Oryzias latipes: one gene and its partners. The protein of the gene in region 2 binds, or shares a complex with, the protein of the main gene of each other region. Links are inferred from orthologs where the notes say so. Each region holds a gene or a part of one and is shown on either strand. Other genes may lie near its edges.

Region 1 (4,282 bases), on a different chromosome or scaffold from region 2:
GCTTTAACGAGAAAACGTCTATGACGAGGCTGCCTTACTAAAAAAAACAAAAAACAGATTTAAATATGACAACTGAAAGGTAACTCCTAGACCTCCTGCTTTGGTTTTGTTTGTCTGATTTCAACGTCCTGCATGTCACCAGGTGACGGCGAGTCCCTTCAAGCTGCAGTTTCTGAGCGGCTCTGCTCACTCCAGACATCACAAGACTGTTTCACAACCCCCCCCCCCAAGCCACAGCACAACCGGCTCTGCACAAACACCGCACCACAGATGGTTAATGGATGCTGACATAACACCAGGAAGCTGCAGTTCCTTCGCATCTCTCCATAAAACGGGTTTTGAGCACATTTGCACAACAAACAGGCGAGTCGTAAAGTTAGCCCCCAAGCCTCTTTTTGTAATTACAGACAATTACGGCTAATCATTGGGCTTTATCAGATCTGAAAATTAGAAACGAGGAACATTTTGTTTGTGCACAACAATAAAACCATGCAGGGGGCCTGTTTGGAGGCTTTACCTGTCAGGGATATTTCAGAGCATCATGGGAGGTCTGGCTGCAGCAGCACATCCCATGCATTCACACTTCCAAATACAGATACCGATCTCAGCGGATTTAGTCGTTTGCATTTCTCATCTCGGAACAAAAGGACTGGTTTGCATGCAAAGCAGCAAACTTCCAGCACTTAACAGTAAAACATCCCCGCAGTTAAAGCCAGATGACGGCCTTAAAGTGAAACGAGCGCCCAGGTCCATGACCGGACCTTAAAGATGGTAATGAAGAGGCCATGCAGGCTCACAGACAGGCCAACACCTTCACCGCGCTTCCTGGAGGGACCTGAGCTGGGTGGCACCCTTAACGCAAACAAACCGCAGCTTCCCATGAGGGAGGAAAGAATGACACGGAGGGAGCCGTGCTGGAGAGCCAGGCAGGCAGGCGTCCCAAAGGAAGCCTGTCATAAATCCTAGAACCAGCAGAAGGTCTGACAACAGATCAGCCTGGACAAAATCCACGTCTACGCTGAGGAAAACTTCCAGACGACTCCTGGCTTATCCAAAGAATGCATCTGCATTCTTCCCCAACAGATGCCATCTTTGTTCTGGGCTCCAGATCCGCATCTCGCCCAGGCAGACTCAATCTGGACGTTGGCAGCTGAAGCTCGCGTGTTTACGGCTGTTTGATCAGCCTCGTGTCTGGATGAACGACAGTCTGCTTCATGCAGGAGGAAGAGCTTACCTGGATGAGACATTTGCTGACGTCGCTGGCGCAGAGGGCTTTGTTGCAGCCAGAGGTCAGAGACAGTCCTGACAGGACGAAGAGCAGAGCAGCAGTGGCGGGGAGGATCAGCTGAGCAGGCCTCATCCTGAAGGCTCACCAGCACGGATCTGGAAACACCTACAGCAACACAAAGAGGACACAAAAAGTCTGAGCTTCTGCTTCACTTCAGGAACTTTAAACTCGGAAAGGCGGTTCTGGCATCCATGAGGTGGACTTTCTATAGGAGCTCTTCAAAAGATGTAAATGTATTGTCCTGAAGGAGACAGAAGTCACTCAGAGCCATCAGTGCCACACTCACATCTGGCAACATCAGCTCAGTTGGCCCGTTTCTTAGCGCACGTGCGGCGCCTGAACGCGCTGTGCGCCCTAGCGGCTCCGCTATTACACCCAACATTCTGTTTCTCTTCTCACGAAAGAAGGAAAAAAGCGTGAGGAACATGAGCTCCCTCATTCCCGAGCGCCTTTCTTTACCTCTTTTCTCTCCCCCCTTCGCTTCACTCCAAACTTTCTCTGAAACGCACGCAACTGCGACAGGAGCGCGCGCGGAGGAGCGAGGAGTTAGGAACGTTTTTACTTCGACTCACCTCACGGCGCTGTAGGAAGTCGTGTGCTTCTCTTCTGGGAGAAGGACCGCGTCTGTTTGCTCTTTGAACTTCTCCAGGATGGTTTGGTGCCGCCGCGCAGTGTCCACTGTGTCCAGAGGGCGTCAGTCTGCGCGCAGCACAAAGCGACAGGCAGTCGGGCGCCTTAAAGGCGCAGACTCCATTTTCTGGAGAATGTCTGCGGAGGCAAAAGCCGGGCCTGAGGCCACACCGACACCAGCTGAAGGTACCGGGGGAGACCGAGAGGAGGGGCCCGCCAGGCCGCCTCAAAGGATTCAGAAAGTGTGCGTAAAAGTGCGCAAACCCCCAAACTTTTCCCAGGTCAGACGGGCTCTGCTGCTCTGCGCGAGCCTTCTCCGTCCACCCCCGCCTCATTAGAGAGCCCTTTGTCTCCCCTCCAATCAGCGGGCTTTGAGGGAGCGCTCTTCAGGTGAGAAGTGTCCGGCTCCCCCCGGAGGCGCGACTCCATGAGGGCCTCTGGGGCCCCGAGCTGGAGCCCCACAAGGGCTGACATCTGCGGGTGCACAGCCTCCAGAGGGGCAAGAGACACCGGAGTAGGTCAGATTTTTAAAAAATAATCTTTTCCTGCTGCTCTAAGGGGACAACACGAGCCAAAGGTCAGCGCGCGACGCGTTCTGACCGAGTTTCTTCCGTTTTTACGCCTTTTCTGCTTCAACAGAAACAGAAAGCTGAACTGATGACCTGAGAGGCGCACGTGGAGCGCGTGACAGTGGAGTCACGTGGTTCATCCCTTTATAAAGTCTCGGATCCTCATTTTCTGACCAAATAAAAAAAACTCTCAAACGGACTGTAAAAAACAAAAATCAGTAAGAATGGTGTGTTTCCCAGATTATGATTGAATTTAGACTAAACCTGAAACAAGAGACAATGAAATATGTTCAATTTGAGTGGATTTAATGTTAAACAAGTCGGAATCTTTTTCATTCGTTCATTCATTCTTTGATGTTAAGTTTTGATGAATGATTTGTATTAAATCAGAAAAGTAAGTCAAAGTTTGTGGAATCTTTAACGGAACTATAGCAGAAGTTTCTGCAATTTGTAATTAAGTAAATTTCCACAGAGAGAAACTGACAAAGTACTTCACAAAGTCAAAACAAGATTAAACTAAATGACTATTAAGCCTTTTGTTGTTTATGGTGTTTTATTTAAATTAAAGCCATTTGGTGTTTTATTATCATCTTTTTATTCTGTTATTCTATTCCGATAGTCGAACCTCAGTTTAAGGAACAAGGGTGGGGTTTCCGTCCTGGTCGTGGAACAGTGGACCAGCTCTACACCCTCTTTAGGGTGCTGGAGGGAGTTGGCTCATGCGTTCGACCCCCGTGGTATCCTGTGGGGGGTGCTCTGGGAGTATGGGGTCCAGGGAGCCTCACTGAGGGCTGTCCAGTCTCTGTATGACCGGAGCAAGAGTTTGGTTCACATAGGCTCACATGGCAGCAAGTCAGACTTGTTCCCAGTGCACGTTGGACTCCGGCTGGGCTGCCCTTCATCACCGGTTCTGTTCAGTTTTTGTGGACAGAATTTCTAGGCGCAGCCAGGGGCCGGAGGGGGTCTGGTGTGGGGACCACAGGATTTCCTTTCTGCTCTTTGCAGATATTTTATTCTGTTCCATTCCAAAATAATCGTGATCTCCATTTCCTTTAACATGAACTGAGTTTGTTTATTCTTGAATGACTGAAAAAAAAAAAAAAAGATTTCCCACAATGCACTGGGGATTCCATCTCACTGCACACCAACCCTCACCATGGTAATTACACCCTCCCAAATGTTCCCCGTTGGCTGCCAGAACGTTAGGAGCTTTTCCTCTTCAAGTTTCACCTTCAAAGTTTCTCCTAAACAAACTCCTGCAGTCCATTTCTAACTTCCTGCAGCGCCCTCTGGTGGCCGATTACAATTCTGCACCGCGCAAAAGGACCAGAAGGCAACACAGACATGAATTTCACAACAAATAAAATTTATTCAATTATATATTACAAATATATACAAGTAATGTAACAAGTAAATATTAAAATAGACATTTTTTAGAACTATCGTTCAAAAGGCATTATGTTGAAAAAATAGGATTTGTTGTGATTTCACATTTAAACTGTAAAAGTATTTGTCTTTTTTTTCCTCAGAAGCCACAACAGACTTGAATGTGTGCAAGACACGATGGACAACACAGGAGGCCGCAGAAGAGACAGAACACCATGTCTGAAAGGAAAACAAAAGGAGGAACTCAAAGAGAAAAGCTGGAACACTTTAGTAAACTTCACAAATAAGTAACCACAGTACAGCTTGTTTAGGGAAAAAGTACAGACATTGCAATGCATGCACAGCATTTAATTGCCAGAGTCAAAAACGTTTACCAGCTGTGGCGTGGAGCTCCAGATGAGGAAGGAAC
Region 2 (4,350 bases):
TAAAAATAAAATGATGAGCGAAGAGGCGCTTCATAATATTCATTATATTAATAAAAGCACGTTTGGAAGATCGTCTAGTATATTACCGAGCATCTGCATAAAATGTATGTGGCAGCAGTTTGTTTACAACGGGACTCATTTCCGCTTACTGTATTTTCAACACTACTGCGCATGCCCAAATGATTTATTCTGACCGAAAGTGTGACCCATGTACACGTTTGTTCTAATCGGAAAAAGGTTTTCTGTGCCCATGTGCACGGTTGAATTGTAATCCGACCATTGATCCGATAAAGATATTTTGCCCATGTAACCGCGGCTACTGTAAATGATGTGTAGAGTTGCATACTCCCACCTAGTGTTGAGGGGTGGGCATTGCACCGTCACGTTCGCTGAAGCAACTTCAATCGATGTAGTTAAGGTGCTGCTGCTTATGTCTGAGTAAAGAAATAGCCAATCACAAAAGTGTCTCCGCCTTGTTTGGTTTGATTGGCAGACAGACTCATTCTGCTGAAAAAGCTCATATAGAAAGAAATAAGTCATTCTGAAAAACAGCAATGCGAAATAAAAACAAAGCTACTTTGGAAAATATTGATATTGAAATCCGAGTTAGTCACAAGTCATGGAATTATAATAATATTAAACATGATTGAAAATGAATATTTTAAAACAGTTTTTAAAATAATGAACAGGTTTTTAAAGTAAAATGATATATATAATAATATAATGGCTAGTTTAAAATCTGTGTGCAGGTTTTTTACAATTTCATGATTTTTTATATATTTATGAGAGATGTATTGGTTGATTGTGTGATTGCACACGCTTTATTGTTTTTGTTTTTTATTATGAACAATTTGGGGTTAACGTTTAACGTATAACGATTATTATAACGATTAACGAAATTAATGTTCAGTGGAGCCCTCCGCTGGAACCCTACTTACAGCTCACTCCACACATAGCAGCCCCCCTTTGTGTTCCTCCTTCAGCTTCCTCTGCTCCCTGCTCTTCAGAGCTCCCTACATCCTCTCACTGATCAGTCAGCACCACCGGTTCAGCCGTTCCAGATCACAAAAGCAGGCAGAATGTATTGGAAAATGCCGAGGATGTGCTTCTGGACTCAGTTCACGCATCGGAATAATATTCTTGGTATAAAAAAAAACACATAATTTTTTTTATCTAGTTAAATGAGTGACAAGAACGTGCATTAGTGGAGGGTTGGGTGTCATTAATGCACTTGTATTCAAAAGTAAACTGCAGGGTGGTGTTTACCTTGACCTCTGTCCACGACACTGGTGATGGTGTTGGCCAGAGCCGCCTCGTGCAGCGCGCTGCTGTTCAGTCCCCCGCTGGATAGAGACCAGTACAGCGACAGCATGTAGTCGTGAGGGGTCACCAGCGGTTGTCTGTGCTGAAGCCTCGGATTCTGGCTGCTGCTGCTGCGCTGCGCCGCCGGAGGCAGCCTCCTCTGCGCGCCGCCGGTTTGGTGAGGGGAAGCCGCGCGTGCAGCAGCAGCAGCCGCGCTTGCCTTTGAAGCAACTCTCTCCATTTTCTTGCCAGCTGAGGCTTTACCCCCAACAGTTGGGGTTTCTTTCACTGCTGCGTAAGCGTTAACAGTTGCGGGAGCATGGACCTTGACGTGCGCGTCCGTTGGGGACACCCAGGAGCGCGAAACCCCTTTGCGCGCTGAGTTGTCCACCTTATCCTGCAGCTTCGGCAGATGTTTGGCGGATGAGTACACGGATGACCGCGAGGAGGACGGTTTGTTTCTATCAACAGAAGTCTCGCCTTTGAGCGGCGGCGGACCAGCGGGGATGCGCGCGGAGGGATTCCACGCACCGGGAACTTTTTTTAGTAACTGACCAACTTCGCGTGCTTCTGTCTGCCGTCTTGCCTCTCCAAGCTGGCGATGCTCGCGCTCCTTTTGCGTGGTCCAGCTGCGTGAAGCAAGGACGGGATGCGGGTAAAGGAGAGTCCAGCAGCTGAACAGAAAAGAAAGATGCCTCACAACTTTCATCCTAAATCCTTTGTGCCTCGAGGCAAACCGTCATCGTAAGTAAAGCTGTGTCACTCTGCAGTGCGCTGACGTTTGTACTTCAGACAGAACTGCGCGCAGTCTATCTCCTCCCGGTGGTCCTCTGCTCTGAGTCTGAGCTGTCAGGAGAGAAATCAACCAAAAGCTTTTTTTCTTTGTAAATCAGAATAAAAAAAACAGAGCGAGGCAGCCAAAGCTTAAACATGAGACGGGGGAGCTTTAAGCGCGCGTTGGGAGGATTCCTGAAGATCTGCAAAGTGCCATCTGTCATGTGGAGCAACCATAATGCTGGCGGGGTCCTGGCCGTGACAGAGGAGATGCTGCGAGCGCGCGGAGCTGTTCTGCTGGAGAGCTCGTAAGAAAGCTCTAATAAACCCGCGGTTTCCCAGAGAAAGCTCGCGCGCCCCTTCCCCTCTCTCTCCGGAGTCTGAACTCCGTCCAGTGAAAACACTGCACTCCCACACTAAGGTGCAGGTGCTGCAAATCCTCCAGCGAACCTGAGCGGCGCAGGAATTCCAGAAAACAGTTTTAATTACTGCATGACGTCATGACGTCTAAACCCATTAAACAGCAGTGTTTCTCCACACATCTTCCTACTTCTTTTTTCCACCTGTGACTCACTGAACTGGTGCAGAATCTGTCCTCTCACTATGAACACACGGAGGAAACTGCTTTGGTCCACATTGTTTTCAGGGTTTTCGGAAACAGTGATGCTGCAGCACACTAAAAACTCAGTGGTTGGATTAAAATAACCAAACTTGGGTTATTTTAACCTAACTTCAGGGTTAAAAAGCACTATTTGATGGGTTATTTTTAACCCACAATTTTGGGTTACTCTAATCAACCCAAGTATTAAATTGTTAGATTAACCAAGTTAAAAGGTCAAATTAACACAACCTAATAATCTTGGGTTAAATTCATAAATGTCTGTTTTTTCTCCCATTTTTCCTTTTAATAAAAGAAAACCTTCTAATATCTTCCAATGCAAATATTTAATCTCTAATTAAATCTCACCTCACCACTCAACATGTGTTTAACCAAAATAAAGAAATCTGTGACACTTTTTCATTTAGACAAACCAAACAGGGATACTATATAAATGCAGAGGCGCACATCTAACCCAATGCTTTCTTGTATCAGCAGGGGTTTTATGTTTAACAGATACACGTTTTAATATTAAAAACTATTAGCCGAAGTCAACATAGCGTGAACATGAACTGTTTTATAACCAGCATTTACTTTTTTATTTATTATACAGTTTTAACCTTTAACACCAGCAACAACTAAACAACACGCGCTCTTTGACACATTATTAATCTTTGCCCGTTTGGACGATCTCCATAAACGTGAATTAGTTAATTCTGGAGTAAAGCAGGTTTTCAGGGTGTGCCTGACCAACACGCTGTTTGTCCAAGGACCGATAGGGTCTCGACTCCGCCAAATCATACAAAGAATGATAAATGAAAGTAAATCATAAGCAAAACAACTGGCAGCATAAAAGTGAAACCAATCATCTATATAAGAAAGCAAAATATAAGAAATACATGAAAAATAATTAATCCACGATATAGTCTTGAGGCCCTGAATATAACTTCTGTTCTTCATAATGGTATACTGTAATCCTGAGAAACACTGTAGGCTTGTATACTAACAGGCTTGAGGTCAATAAAGGATGACCATGCCTCTTCAACCAGGTGGCCTTTTGTTGAGCCTGTAAACTGTCTGTTGTTGCTGGTATCAGTCTGAGAGCCACCACTCTTTTGGCATCTGTTGGGACGCCAATATAAGTGTCAGGATGGTGCAGCAGGTACTAAATTGGTTTGAAATGTTCAAAGATTTTTGTTATCCTCAAAACTCAATTATAATAAAACTTGGGGAAAAACACTACTTCTTTATCAAACCCAGTAGACTAAAATGATCAAAAACTCCAAAAAGTGAGTAGTTTACTGAGCTTAGAAGGATCATGAAGACAATTTAGACAGCTAACTTACCCAGTGGGATGTCATTGATAGAAAAAAAAGATTATTGTCTCATTTTTTTTTTTTTTTATCTCCTCCATGTGGACGAGTTTCTGAATAACTAGTCACCCATGTCCCAAATATGAACAGCCCGACGCAGCGACCGTGGCAAAGTTCAAATAACTGTGGCCGCACTGGGTCGCTCAAATCGAGCTGCTACCTGCACTGCGCCCATCATTTAAATGGCGCCGCAGGACAGAATGAATTGACTTAACATTGACACACGAATCGCATTCGGTGTGAACGCAACTTTAACCCTTGTGCTATCCTAGGCACTTTAACATGGGGAGTTGGGTCATCTAG
Region 3 (4,340 bases), on a different chromosome or scaffold from region 2:
GGGGAATTGCAACAAAATGCTGTTTAGAGCATCGCCTTTGGAGCATCCTGAGCTTTAGTGTGACCTACCTTCAGATCAACTGAAAGGGTTTCATCTGTGGGAGTTTTTATAATGCCGGATGTCAGTCTAAACTCTGCGTGTCACGATTTCTGCTCTGTTCAGACCAGTTTTTACCCTGTCTCCTTTTATACAGTTTATGTCAGACAGTGTGAATGTGCATGCAGAGCAGTTTGTTGCAGCATGTTGGGATGTAAAAAAAAAAAGCTCTGACCCCGCCCTCCAGACACATACGCAGAATATTACTGTAAAGAATGGTTAGAAACTGTGATGAGCAGCAGGAAGGCTGGGATGAACCTGCTATCACTCTGAAATGCTGCTTTACTGTTTGACAGGTTTACAAGGAGAATTACAGCATTGCAGTCTGAATAAAGCGAGCACTTACATCATAAAAAACATCTGCATTTGTCCTGTTCTTCATTATTTCACAGCTTGAAATCAAGAAAAACACTTGGGTTTTTAGCAGCTTTATAAACTAATTCACTTCAAATTTTACATTTACTAAATTCCATAAAATAATGTTGCTTTTTCGAGCATCAATATTTTGAACATTTAAAATGTTTAAAAAAAAATATATATATATATATATATATATATATATATATATATATATATATATATATATATATATATATATATATATATATATATATATATATATATATATAATACCAATCCAGCGTCTATGTTCTTATCTGTGACCAAACTCTTTTCAAAAAGTATTTACTCTTCCCTTTAATTTTTTTCTTTTTTTTGCAGACCTGTTGTTTCGCTACTAGCCACTAGATGGAGGCAGACTAAGCTTAAGTCAGAATTTCAAAGTAAAAGCCAGGACAGAGTAGTGATTGCAAAAACAGATGAAAGAAATTAGGCAAGAGTTCTCACTCTGACAGTAATATCAACTCAACCGGGAGGTTAGACGGAGACTTTATTACCTTTTTCAGTTTTTAAAAGAAGAAGGCACAAAGAATAGATACATTCAAACATGATTTTAGCGTGTGGTAATTTAAATACAGGATGTTATAAATAGTTATTATCCTCAAATTTCTAATAGACAAAAAAGTCACATGAACTGCATCCATGGGAAACGCAATGAAACAACGTAAACTATAGAATTGAATATAAATGTGGCGCACAAAAAGAAACGCTTACTGTATGTTGGCAGTATAGATTTATGATAAAAAACATCAATAATAGAGATTTATTCAGATGTAAATCTGTATTAAATTATTTACTAATTAAAAAGTCAGGTAACTGGAAAGGCTCATCCGGAAGTTTGACTGTCTCATTTGACGTTAGAGTGAGTAGTCTCGTTGCTCACAGACGATCTTCGAACAGGTTTGGGATTCACTGTCCTCGCCGTCAAACAGAGAAAACCGCAGAAGGAGCGAGTACTGAGGCGCATGGAGAGAACGGCAAAACCGCTGGAAAATACGTATCTGTATCCCGGAATACTATTCAGAGTTAGGATTTAAACAACAGATTTGTGCTGGAAAACGAGATGCGTCCCAAGGAGTAAATAAGGCACCCAGGAGGATAAGGTAAGGCGGATAAGATCCAACAAAACCCCGAACTTCACTCCCTGTAGTTGGACTTTTCAGCTCCGTCTATGTGCTGAATCACATAGCGAATAGAGCCTGGAAGAAAATAAATGTAAACTTGGTATTTATACATTATTTTATGAAGTAGTTATTAGATTATAAGTTCGGCATTGGGATATATTGTCAGTTGTTTGTGATACTGAAAAAAAAAATTCAAATAAAATGAACAGATTTCGTGAGTGGTTTGGCGCCAGGAAATAGTCGTATCCTGTTGGCAACGCTGTCGAAAAAGTTCCCAGTTGTTGAGCTTCGGCGAGATTATTAAATGTTTTGCAGAAAAGAGGCTATGATGAAGCCCATCAGTATGTAAGCAGGCATTGTTGATCCCAGATAAGTGAATAAAATCTGCGGGAGAGTTTATCTGGATCATCTTTGCCGCAGTTTGTTCACCGAGATGTCGCTTGTTAGCCGCATTCCTCGGTTAGCTAACTCCGCAAATATCACTTATTTGTAATAAAACAGTTTTTACGGTTAGAAAAAACGTGTTACCGATAATTTTGATCAATTTTGCCCGTTTGTCCGTGAGTTCGTTTGTCTGTAGTCAACTATGTGTGAAAGTTAGAGAAAGTTGAGCTAAGTTTCTCGTTAGCATGTGGGGCTATAACACGCAGAGAGAAGGTCTAGTTTCTGCTGGTTTTCTCTGTTTACCTGAAATTATTGCTTCTCGTGCACGCGCTACCCGGAGCCACCTGTGGCGCGCTCGTTTTGTAGCTTGTTGTGTGTTTGTGTCGGAGACTGCCAAACATATTTAGCCTCCAGCATCAGCCCCGGAACACAAACTCTGATTGTTTTTTTTTTTTTTAATTATGTTTTGGTGTTAGTGCAATGTTTCTCCAAACTCCAAAACCCCACATTCAGTTTAGCGAAAATTCGCAAACTTTCCTGGTTAAGCCTTCGTTGAGTTTGTTGACATTTTTGGAAAAACCTCGAATGTATTCCACTCGGGGCTTTCTTTTTTGCCATACTTGGGACCAGTATTGTTGAAGTAAAACTTTTTTTTTTTTTCTTATTGTCAACATGTTTTGGTCGTTATGTTTGTTGCCTTCTTAATACCTGGATTGTTCAGGTTTTTTTAATCTCCAGACAAATCTGGCCTATACCTTTTAAAATTGATTTTAAGTTGATTGATTTCTGTGGTTTAGGGTTTCAGACAGAACGGCTCCCTCTTGTCCTCAGGGGCTGTTCTTGGTTCAGACCTGTTTATTTTCCATTTAAAGTCATCTTTATTTTATGTGATGGTCTTTAATATGTTTGATTATTTCATCCTATCAAACTGATTGCCTAATCAGTGAAATAATGTGCAGTTTTGAGCAATTAGTTTTGTGTTGGAGTAAAATCCTAACCCAACTGAACCACGATTAGCTTTCTTTTTTAACTGAAACTAGTTGGTTCTTAGATCAGAGCAGTTTCTGTCCTAAAAGCTTGACGTATGCTCCTTCAGTTCAGTTTTTTTTAAAAGTCCAATCATCATTGACTCTATTGTAAAAGTGTTCCTAGTGGTCTTTTAATTATAAATATGCCGTTTTAAGCCAATCAAAAAACAACCTTTGTTGTTTTTTAGGACATAGTTTCTGCTGAGCGGCAGTACTTCATCGGCTTTTGGTGCAGACTAGTAAGCTTGTCTGTGCTTCCCGTCATTCATCTGTTTACACAATCTCCCTTAAACTTGTGCAACAAAAATGAGGAGCAATATTGGAATCATCCAGATGTTCAGTTTTGAGCCACATACGAGCTCAGACCAGGGAAATTAAGTACTTGGATCTATTTATGTCCTCCGTCATGAGAAAAATGCCACAAGAACATGTTAAAAACACCAAAAACATTATTTTTATCAGAGTGGGTCTTCAGAACATTCTATGATTATAATCTATAAAGTGATAATACAAATAAATAACAATTCTTACTTGACTAATTATTACTTGAAGAAGACACTTTAATATGGTTGTGTAAAACAAATTGAAAATGGCTGTTTTAATCACATTTTAAAGCTTTTAAGAGACAGAATCCTTTAAATGTGATTGTAAAAGATAGATTAGTGACATCATGACAGAGACACACTACTTCCCAAAAGAGCAGTGGGTGTTTTATAAATCTGGCAGGTTTTTTTTGTTTTGTTTTTACTCTCTATTGTCGTTGGCCACTTTTTCCGTAGTCAGATAGAATATGATTATTTTGTTGTGGTGTCTTACAGGGGGTTGAGCTTGGTCCAGCTTTTTTGTAGTTTTTGGGTCTACGTTTGTTCAGCATCATAGGCAGATGTCATGCCTGTATCTATGTTTTTTGCTAAGATTAGTGTGTTTCTGTCAGAATCTTGGAATTGTTGTTAAGTACAAGTCTTTTTTTATTTTTGCCATTGAGTCCTTCATGTGTGATGTTGGATTATAGCCGTTTCACTGAAACTGCAGGTCTTAACTGTTTGTTGAATGAATGGTGCTGATTCAAACATTTTTGTTTTTTTAAAACAAGAGCCAACTTTTTTTTTGCAGATAAATCGCTGAGTGTATGTGTTGACATACCCTAGTTACGTTAACACATCAATCTGAGATTCTGAGTTGAAATATAAATATTTGTTTGGATTTCATATTGTCATAAAATATGATTTTTGTTGTTTCACTTTAAGGGCTGAAAGTTGATGTTAAATGTAAAGCCTCAAATTTTAGGACTTTATACAGGATTATAACT
Region 4 (4,324 bases), on a different chromosome or scaffold from region 2:
ATGCCTATGAGAAAACTCTTAAATTATGTATTCAAGTAGATGCTAAAATAAGGTAATTTTGGAGCCGAAGTATTTTTATGGATACTTTATTTGGCGTCAGTTGGTTAAGCAAACTTGAGTATAAGTATAGAAAGTATAACAGCTTTTTATCATAGTGTAGGAGTATACTAACTGAGAATTTCCTCAGACTAAATTGGAACATTGTAAGTTTATAGATAGTATATAAAAAACTAAACTGCCTCACTTTTTGGATTGACTAAGTGCAATAAACTTAATTAGACTTCTTTTTGCCAAGGGATGGTCCATGATTGGAATTGGAATTGGTTTATTTCAAGCAATCAAAGCAAACAATGCTGAAGAAGACAAACATAACAAATATCTTTATATAGATGTATCAAAATTTGGATGATTAATTGCAACCACCTTCAGATAGATTTACCTACCCTCTGAAACCACATTTATAAGAAATGATCCATTTCCTCTAGGAATTGGGAATTTTTAATGGTGTACCTCAATTTCTTTACATGCATCGATCAAACCGTTACCCTAAGCAAAAAGTACCGCAGTTAAAGTATTTTTGTTAAATATACTTGAGTATAAGTATAGCAAGTATGATAGTCACGAGAGTTTGGAGTGTCATATTCCTCCAAGGCCCTAATATGCTATCATAGCATCAGTTCCGAATATCTATCTTGTCCTTTGATCTTATACATTATATGTTGAAGGCTTTTCCTGACACCTCTGCATTTGGAGGGCTTGGGACACGCCCTTTTAAAAAAATCAGTAATTAATTGTGGATTTTTTTTAATCGTGGTTGGGGGGGGGGGGGGGGGGGGGGGTTATTACAGCATTCTGTTGGACAGAGTCCCTGCCTGCCCCTACATGTACTTAAATACTTCTGAATACTAATAAATCTGAATATTTCTTCAGACTAGATTGGAACATTGTGTGTTTACAAAATATAGATCGTACATAAAAAGTAAATCGCTATTACATAAGAAATAAACTTTAAGTATACTGCCTCACTTTTACTTGTAGTACACTTAAATAGACTTCTTTTGGGTGTTGTGTAGCAGTAGCAGTATCTGAAAAAGCTGAAAACTTTGTTCTTGAGGAATCCGTGGGATTTTGGTGACACATTAACCTAACTTTTCCTTTCATCCACTGTCCGTTATTCTTAACTCGATTTAATCATCTAAAGATAAACCCTATCAGATCAGGCAAATAATATCTGGAAAAATAAACCGGAATCCTTCCTGGAAAAAAAAAGGAAGAAACATATCGGAAACGCATCATGCTTTGAGGAGCTCAATAATTTTCTCATCTGGTTGATCTACAACTTTTATCTCAGTGTCTCATTATTGTGGGTCACGGTGGGCGGGTTTTCCGCCTGCAGGGTTTGGTTGATTCTGTGAGCTATTGATTTGTTGCAGAGGAGGAGGAGGAGGAAGAGGAGGAGGCGGAGGAGAAAGCGAAAGGGGAGGAGTGGAGGAGAAATTGTGCTGAGGGAGGGATGCGGCCGTGCGTGCGGGACGGGAGAGGAGCGTGATTGCAATCACAGCAAAAAGAAGAAGAAAAAAAGTCCGACTGCCGAAGCTGGGGAGAGAGCGCACCGAGAAAGTCACGTGGGGAGCGGATCCTTTCGCGAAGAAAAGCTGGAAAAGTGGGACTTCTTCTGCCGGGACTTTTAGCTGCTCTCCGCCCCGCATTCCGCGGTGTTTTCATGCGCACCCGTGGAGGGGAGGACGGAGAGACAAGTGAGGGTGAAGAGACAGAAGAAGAAGAAGAAGAGGTGATCGGGCTTGAACGCCTCCCCTCTGCGCTCCGTGGAGGTCGGTCCACTCTCCCCTCCTGGCCCTGCATGGACGGGGATGGGGAGAGCCGGATGCCGTTGCCGCGGGGCTGAGCGCCTGGCTTCCCCGTCTATGGTGCGCCGTTTCCGGCCATCGCTGCTGCTGCTGCTGCTGCTGCTGGTTCTGTCCTACGGAACTTACATGGGTGAGGAACGTTTTCATTACTCCTCCAGATCATGTGTCACTAAAACCTCCACTTTCCCTGAGTTTTTGTCAATTCTTGAAGCGTTGGTTCCTGGCCTCACAAAGCCTCCCTCCAGAGCGGCAGTGCAGCATTCTCAGCCCGGATCGAGTTTCTCCTCCTCTCTCCTGGGCCGTCATTCTCCTGTCTGCCCCCTTAATGGCTCGTGGAGGAGGGGAAGAGGGCGACTGCCTCTCCTCTTGTCATAACAGATCTGTTCCATGCAAGCAAAAGTTGCCTGTTATTTAAACCAAAGTGAACTGAACTGAAATAATAGGCTAAAATGCACACAGGAAAGTATTAATATAGTTTAATATAAAAGGAGTTGTAAAGTCTCTTTGTCCTTTGGTGATGCTCATCATTTAAGAATTGATGACTGTAGAATAAAAAGTGACCTCTCCCTGCACATGCAGAGGTGTTGTGTGTTGTTCTGGCTGGTCGTTTTGTGTTGTGTAATCCAGAAGAGATCAGTTTTTGGGCTGTTTGTGAGCATTTAGGGGGTCAGCTGTCTTGTGGGCATTCACACCTCCTGTAATTAGTTTAACACAACCCTGAGCTCTAGGATAAATACACCCACCTCTGCACCACAGCCTGGCTTTAGGCTTTACAAATGCACCCAGGTCACAATTGGAGCCCACATGTGGAAAGAATGTGTTTATTTTGCTTGCATAAACACAAAATATTGTTGCTGTTTTTTTTGCAAGAAGTTTTAACAAATGCTATCATCTGTCAGCTCCATGCTGGTTTGGAGGGAAGGCAGGAGTGTCTGATTTACAGGCTATTGTTCGAAGGGGAGCTCCTGTCTCTAAGCTTAGATGGCTGTTTGTGTGATTTGAGCTCAAAATGTGAGAGCGCATACAGCAAGGTGATCAATAAGCACTTCACAAACCATTCCCCTGGCTGAGAGATGATCCCAGTAGATCTTTTTCTGATCTGAGGAGATCAGAGAACTTGGAGGCAGCCAGATTGGGAGACAAAGAAGCCCTAACAACCAAGCCGAGGAGATTGGGCTCGTGGATGTTTTGACCTCTGTCTGATGTTGGAGAAGGTTGCCTCGGGATGCAGGTGGGGGCGAGAAGGCTCAAAGGCAGACGGAGAGGCCTGGAGGCTGACAATAGGGTTTGTGTGTGTGGTGAGGGGAAGCTCTAAAGCAAAATCTCACAATAGAAGAGATGATCCAGATGTGAGAAGAGGGTTGAGTTTGAAAGGAAAGTTGATGTAATACGGAGCTGACTCCCATCCTGCCTTCACTGGTGACTTACTGTAGGACGATCTATTGCAGCTCCGGACACGAGTCACCACAAAAATGTTTTTTCTTAACTGATTTGCTCAGAAACAACAATTTATTCATTAAAAAATGCACAAATTATTTTTCTTTTCTTGAATGCGCCTCCAAAAAACCCTAAAGTTGCAGCCCAACTAAACTCAGACAGTTGTGGTTTTACTTGATACTCTCACAGGAAGGCTGGAATGCAGGGTCAGCCATGCAGCTCCACAATGGGAGCAGGTGTATACTTCAGTAGATTTGTGTTGTCAGCAGAGATCTCTCCTTCATCCAGAGGTCCTAGCCCAAGTTAAAGGATCACCTTTCTCTTGTTATATCACAGCAATATGCTAAAGTGTAGAAGTGTGTGTGTGTGTGTGCGTGTGTGTCTATGGCAGTTTCAAGATAGAGACATTATGGGTTTTCTGTGAGAAGTATTCAGAGACTGCAGGACGGATGGAGAAACGAGAGAAATCGCTGGTATTCCAGTCCGAAGACAAAATGTGTCCTCAGTGCTCAGGCAATGGTTGGTTGTCTATCTGTTGGTTGGTGTCAGTATTTAACAGTCAGGATAGAGATTCTAAGCCCTGGTGTGAGTGAGGGGGTCTCTACCTGCACCCGGATTTTTAAACTCAGAGCAGCACTGCCCCCAAATGGTGGCGCTCCCACTAGCCAAGAAGTCAAACACTTCTGTGCAACTTCATGGTTGGTGTGATACAGAGAGATTTTGTTGATTTTGCCTGTGCTTATGCTCCAATTAGGAAGTCGTACCACCATCTGAAGATGATGCGTTTAATGGAAGTGCATCCGTGGCGCATGTTTGTCATTGTGTGTGTGTGTGTGTGCGTGGAGCTTCTTGCGCACTGCAGAGCTTCCCTCTGTCTGGCTTAATCTAATAGGGGCATGCTGTGACTGATGCATTAGGTCTGGTCTCTAATCTTTCTACGGCTCTGACTCCCTCTTTCCCCCTGATGATACAAAAGGCTCATTTGACCCTCGTACTGTTCAGAAATGTGGAAACAGACA
Region 5 (4,428 bases), on a different chromosome or scaffold from region 2:
TTTGTTTGTGTTGAATTGTGAGGTCCACTAAGGCTTTTTTTATGGTTGGATGGGGTTGGAATCAGGGGTTGTGATCAAGACCTGAAACATCTCTTCATAATTATGACCCCATGAGTAAGTAAACGCGAGAAAGTGTGTTTACATGTGTTCTTATTTTGAACAAATACTGTTACTTTGAATATCGGTGAACATAAACAAAGTCTTTGATTATGTTTTTTAAAAATAAATAGGACTTCAAATAATTCACCCACATGTAAAGGAAATAGTTTTACTCGTTTTGTAACCTTGCAGGGACCTTTATTACTTTACCGACCATTGTAGTAGGACCATTGATCTCAATGGGGACAAAGGTTTAGTTCAAAAAGAAAATATAATTTTCGTTAGCTAAAGTTAGTAAAACGTCCAAACTTAAAAAATCTTTACTTTTTGTTATAAGTAAAAACCAGATGATTTAAAAATAATTTTCCATAAATTTGTGCTTAAATGTTTGCGCTCAGTGGCTCAGGAGGTTGAGCAGGTCGTCCAATGATCGAAGGGTCGCTGGTTCGATCCCCGCTCCCCCTGGTCAAGTGTTGTTGTGTCCTTGGGCAAGACACTTCACCCTCCTTGCCTCTAGTGTGGCTCCACTGGTGTGTGAATGTGTATGAATGTCCTGGTGATGGTCAGAGGGACCATAAGCGTGAACTGGCAGCCATGCCTCTACCATCACCAAGTATACATGAGGAGTGAATGAATAATGGACACATTGTAAGCGCTTTGAGCGACTGGAAAAGCGCAGATAAATCTAATCCATTATTATTATTATTACTCTGACAACAAGTGCTACAATAATTATGGTTTTAAGTTTAACAACTTATTATGTAATCTTGATTCATATCTCTTTTATTTGACTGACACTCTCTTTTCCAGTCTTACCTAATTTGATCCCAATTTGTCATGTTTTGGTTTTTCAGATTCATAAATTCACTAATCTAGTAGCAACGTTGTATATCAGTGGGGCGGCCTGTGAACTTTAACCAGTTCACACTTTTAAAATGTGCTTCAACCTCCAGATAGGCATTTATTTAAGTATTTGTGTATTCTTTAATAAAGTCAGTGGTCTGTGAAACATGGTTTGGCAGACAAACCTGGGTGTGTTGAGGGCGTGGAGGCTAAATTTAAACTGCACTTGCCCTCGGAGCTTCATCACACACAGCTATAAATAAACGCATCGTTTCACGGATATTTGTGTCTAAATATACTGAAAGAATGTCTGGGATTTTGTTCTATACATAACGATGATTGAAACTGCAAGCGAAGGTGGGAATAATGCTAAATGTATTCTTTTTTATTTTTATTTAAAGATATAACAAATCAACGTGCATGCGTGGGTTTTCTTTGGGGTCTCCAGCTTCCTCCCATCGTCCAAAAACAGGCTTCATAGGTCAATTGGAAACTCTAAATTGTCCAGTGTGAGTGTAAGTGTAAATGGATGTGTGATATGTGACCCTGTGACAGACTGGCGACCTGTTCAGGGTGCCCCCTGCCGTCGCCCATAAGGATAGGCTCCAGCAGCCCTTTGACCCCGAAAGGAACAAAACGGAAGAAGATGAATGAATAACAAACCAAAGTTACATGTTAGTTGTTAACTTTCTTGTTGATGCATTAAAAAAAACTGATGCATATGTTGATGCATCTAGATTTTTATAAAGTTGCACAAGACTTTGTGCTTGAAGCTTAATTGAGTTATTGATGTGGATAAATACATGAGAATATATATAGGAATCTCTAAAACCTATGTACCCCGTGCACGCTCCGTGCATGAGGCATTTCTCTGCAGTCAGTAAGGAGGCGATAGTCACACCTTGCTAAGGAATAGAGCGTGGCATAAGGACGCCATATGACAGCGTCACCCGTACATTATAAGTGTGAGTAACTTTCCATTGTCCTTTACCATAATACACTTACCACACGCACGACAATGGTACGTCCCATTTTTTTGACGTCTCTTAAGGTGGTTGTATGAGTCTTAAAGAACCTGCAGACACACCTGAGCTCTCCTTGAGATGCAGCCGCTCCTCTCTATGACTCTCCATGGACCCGGACAACCACAACCCACAGAACCAGAGTGGGTCAGCCCCCCACCCCACATGGCTCCATGTGACTGAAGCTTTAAGCTTTCACTAATCAATAATAAAACAATAAGTTAAGTAATCGGTCCAGGTTTAAAAGAGAAAGATAAAAAGTAGATTTTAAGGGTCAACCTAAACTGATTATTGATAAGAGATCTGTTCAGGACAGAAAAAGAACTTTCTATCATAGAAAAAAAAGCTGCTTCTGTTCAGGTTCCTCCTTCAAGACCGACCCAGATGATAAGAGTTTAGAAACCAAAAGTTTAATGAGTTAATAATGAGACTCCAATCACCCTGTCAGCTATTGTCAGGAAGCTGAGCTGGAGGTTAGAGGTCACCAAACATGATCTGCATGTGATAGATGTTTGAGCTGAAGAACAAGAAAATTAAAAGCTTAATTTTCTGCTGTCTGACTCTGCAGCCTTCTTCTGTCAAGTCAGTCTTACCTCGGCTGATTTGTGATCAGAGGTCATCAGTGTGGTTTGGGAAAATCCCCCCGAGGCTCCAGAACCTGCCGGAAACTCCACGTTTCTGCCTGAAGTTTCTTGTGGTCTGTCCAGGACTCTGCAGGCTCCGGTCTGGTTCCTGTTCACAGCTGTCGGGGAGCTTCAGGCTCTTCTAAATAAATCCCAGAGAACTACCTGCTGCACAACAACTGTCCACTTACACACACAACACACACACACGCGTACACACGTGGTTATTTTTATTTCAGACGCAGAAATCTATTTATGACCTGGAACTTTGGTTCCACTTTGATTTATTACTTTCCTGAAGGCGATGCAAACAATTTAAAGCAAAATAGATTTAATTCATAAAATCATGATCATCATTTGTATTTTGTATTTGTATTTATTTATTTAAGGGACAATGCATACAACAAACATTGTAGAATACTCTAAAGGTAAAGACACACTGTAAATATGCAGGATTGTAGCCTAGGCTAATTTCCATCCTCTGTCCCATTCTGACCATGGCCAGCCACCTAGAGACTTAAAATAAAATGAGTAAAACAGAGTAAAAATGTACATATATAGCGTTAAATTGCATTAAAAAAATGACATAAAATTAACATAACTCGTATAACATTTAAAACAGTTTCAAATGCATAGTTCCCCAAAATATACATCAATAAAATCGCCAAAATCAGAAGCATCATTTTCAATTTGTATGTGTGTGTGATCACAAGCCCCCCCCCCCCCCCCCCCCCCCCCAACAACCACTAGCCCAGACTGTGGGGCAATTTCACCGACATCTGCTGGAGAGCATCAACTATGTCAGAGGAGCTACTTGGGGGGGTCCCCCCACACCATGCTGCAGGGGGCATGCCACCCCCATGGCCATATGACAAAAAGCATCAAGTCCCCCACCCCCGACCTTGCTGGGATGTCCCTAAATAGTCTAACCGGACTTTGTGACCAGAGCAGACGCTGATAATATGCAGAAAAATTGTCTGACTTGTGGGGTAGGAACCATTGGAAGTCATGTGGTTTAAGGGGACAGACAGCAGGGGGCGCCATAAACTCTCTTTCTGGCTTCTTCAACTAGTTTCAGACTCTCCAGAAGAGAAACTTCTGATTGTTCTAGCATCACCTGCTTCAAACAGAAAGCCTGATGCTTGAGAAGCTTTCCTCAGCTTATATCTGCATGTGTGTGTGTGTGTGTACATGTATGTGTGTGTGCATGTGTGTGTACATGACTGTATGTGTGCATGTGTGTGTGTGTGTACATGTGTGTGTGTACATGTATGTGTGTGTGTGTGTGTACATATGTGTGTGCATGTGTGTGTGTGCATGGGTGTGTGTACGTGTGTGTGTGTGTGCATTTTTGTGTACATGTGTATGTGTGGATGTGTGTGTAACTGTATGTGTGTGTGCATGTATGTGTGTACATGTATGTATGTGTGTACATGTATGAGTGTGTGCATGTGTGTGTGCATGTGTGTGTGTGTGTGTGTATGTGTGTGTGTGTAAATGTGTGTGTGTGGGTGCAAATACATGTGTGTACAGATGAGCAGTTGCCCTTCCAGCCTGCAGCAGGGCCCCTCTCCGCCTCACTGAGCAGCCCTCAGAGCCTTTGTTAGTGTTTGGGGAGGGAGGGGGCAAAGTGAGGCGGGAGGGGTGGTACTGACCCAGACCCGGTGCTGGAGGACCATGCAGCAGAACGAACAGAATCTGCAGAGGTGAGTCTTCTTTCTTTCTCTGGGTTTATCACAGAACAAGTAAAAATGAAAATGAGCATCGACCTCCACCTGTAAATGATCCTCAATTCAATTCTATTTTATTAGAACAGCCCAAAATCACAACAGCAGTCGTCT

Evidence for each region.
Region 1: the proteins of gdf5 (region 2) and twsg1 are in contact, whole or in part, in a crystal structure (PDB 8BWL), measured with the Homo sapiens proteins. The link is inferred for Oryzias latipes from reciprocal best matches to the Homo sapiens genes GDF5 and TWSG1. Residues at the interface, in NP_000548.2 of Homo sapiens: Glu434, Phe435, Pro436, Ser439, His440, Glu442, Asn445, Val448, Ile449, Leu452, Ser455; in NP_065699.1 of Homo sapiens: Cys26, Lys28, Cys31, Ala32, Ser33, Val35, Ser36, Leu39, Ile40, Cys44, Gln45, Cys46, Arg47, Cys73, Val74.
Region 3: the proteins of gdf5 (region 2) and bone morphogenetic protein receptor type-1A are in contact, whole or in part, in a crystal structure (PDB 3QB4), measured with the Homo sapiens proteins. The link is inferred for Oryzias latipes from reciprocal best matches to the Homo sapiens genes GDF5 and BMPR1A. Residues at the interface, in NP_000548.2 of Homo sapiens: Arg399, Phe435, Pro436, Leu437, Ser439, His440, Glu442, Pro443, Asn445, Val448, Ile449, Leu452, Ser455, Met456, Pro458; in NP_001393490.1 of Homo sapiens: Gly65, His66, Cys67, Pro68, Ile77, Thr78, Phe83, Ile85, Glu87, Cys100, Met101, Lys102, Glu104, Gly105, Phe108, Gln109, Asp112, Ser113, Lys115, Ala116, Gln117, Arg120, Ile122.
Region 4: the proteins of gdf5 (region 2) and rgmb are in contact, whole or in part, in a crystal structure (PDB 6Z3J), measured with the Homo sapiens proteins. The link is inferred for Oryzias latipes from reciprocal best matches to the Homo sapiens genes GDF5 and RGMB. Residues at the interface, in NP_000548.2 of Homo sapiens: Leu396, Arg399, Phe435, Pro436, Leu437, Arg438, Ser439, Asn445, Val448, Ile449, Leu452, Ser455, Met456; in NP_001353437.1 of Homo sapiens: Gln57, Thr60, Phe63, Val64, Thr67, Ser68, Leu70, Asn71, Tyr88, Leu103, Val104, Ser107, Ala108, Leu110, Gly111, Ile112, Asp114, Leu115, Gln118.
Region 5: the proteins of gdf5 (region 2) and hemojuvelin are in contact, whole or in part, in a crystal structure (PDB 6Z3L), measured with the Homo sapiens proteins. The link is inferred for Oryzias latipes from reciprocal best matches to the Homo sapiens genes GDF5 and HJV. Residues at the interface, in NP_000548.2 of Homo sapiens: Met412, Trp414, Trp417, Phe478, Asp480, Ser481, Lys488, Tyr490, Met493; in NP_001366281.1 of Homo sapiens: Arg95, Arg98, Gly99, Leu101, His104, Ser105, His108.

The regions. Positions count from the first base shown.
Region 1 is NC_019875.2:4,775,484-4,779,765, reverse strand, and holds the start of twsg1 (twisted gastrulation protein homolog 1), read right to left. Parts: upstream 2,819-4,282; 5' UTR 1,861-2,818; intron 1,394-1,860; 5' UTR 1,361-1,393; coding exon 1,235-1,360; intron 1-1,234. UniProt on the Homo sapiens protein: May be involved in dorsoventral axis formation. Seems to antagonize BMP signaling by forming ternary complexes with CHRD and BMPs, thereby preventing BMPs from binding to their receptors.
Region 2 is NC_019863.2:6,129,156-6,133,505, forward strand, and holds the start of gdf5 (growth/differentiation factor 5), read right to left. Parts: upstream 2,820-4,350; 5' UTR 2,012-2,819; coding exon 1,267-2,011; intron 1-1,266. UniProt on the Homo sapiens protein: Growth factor involved in bone and cartilage formation. During cartilage development regulates differentiation of chondrogenic tissue through two pathways.
Region 3 is NC_019873.2:12,328,510-12,332,849, reverse strand, and holds the start of bone morphogenetic protein receptor type-1A, read left to right. Parts: upstream 1-1,387; 5' UTR 1,388-1,598; intron 1,599-4,340. UniProt on the Homo sapiens protein: On ligand binding, forms a receptor complex consisting of two type II and two type I transmembrane serine/threonine kinases.
Region 4 is NC_019867.2:13,671,692-13,676,015, forward strand, and holds the start of rgmb (RGM domain family member B), read left to right. Parts: upstream 1-1,467; 5' UTR 1,468-1,871; coding exon 1,872-1,998; intron 1,999-4,324. UniProt on the Homo sapiens protein: Member of the repulsive guidance molecule (RGM) family that contributes to the patterning of the developing nervous system. Acts as a bone morphogenetic protein (BMP) coreceptor that potentiates BMP signaling. Promotes neuronal adhesion.
Region 5 is NC_019874.2:31,654,425-31,658,852, forward strand, and holds the start of hemojuvelin, read right to left. Parts: upstream 2,813-4,428; 5' UTR 2,558-2,812; intron 1-2,557. UniProt on the Homo sapiens protein: Acts as a bone morphogenetic protein (BMP) coreceptor. Through enhancement of BMP signaling regulates hepcidin (HAMP) expression and regulates iron homeostasis.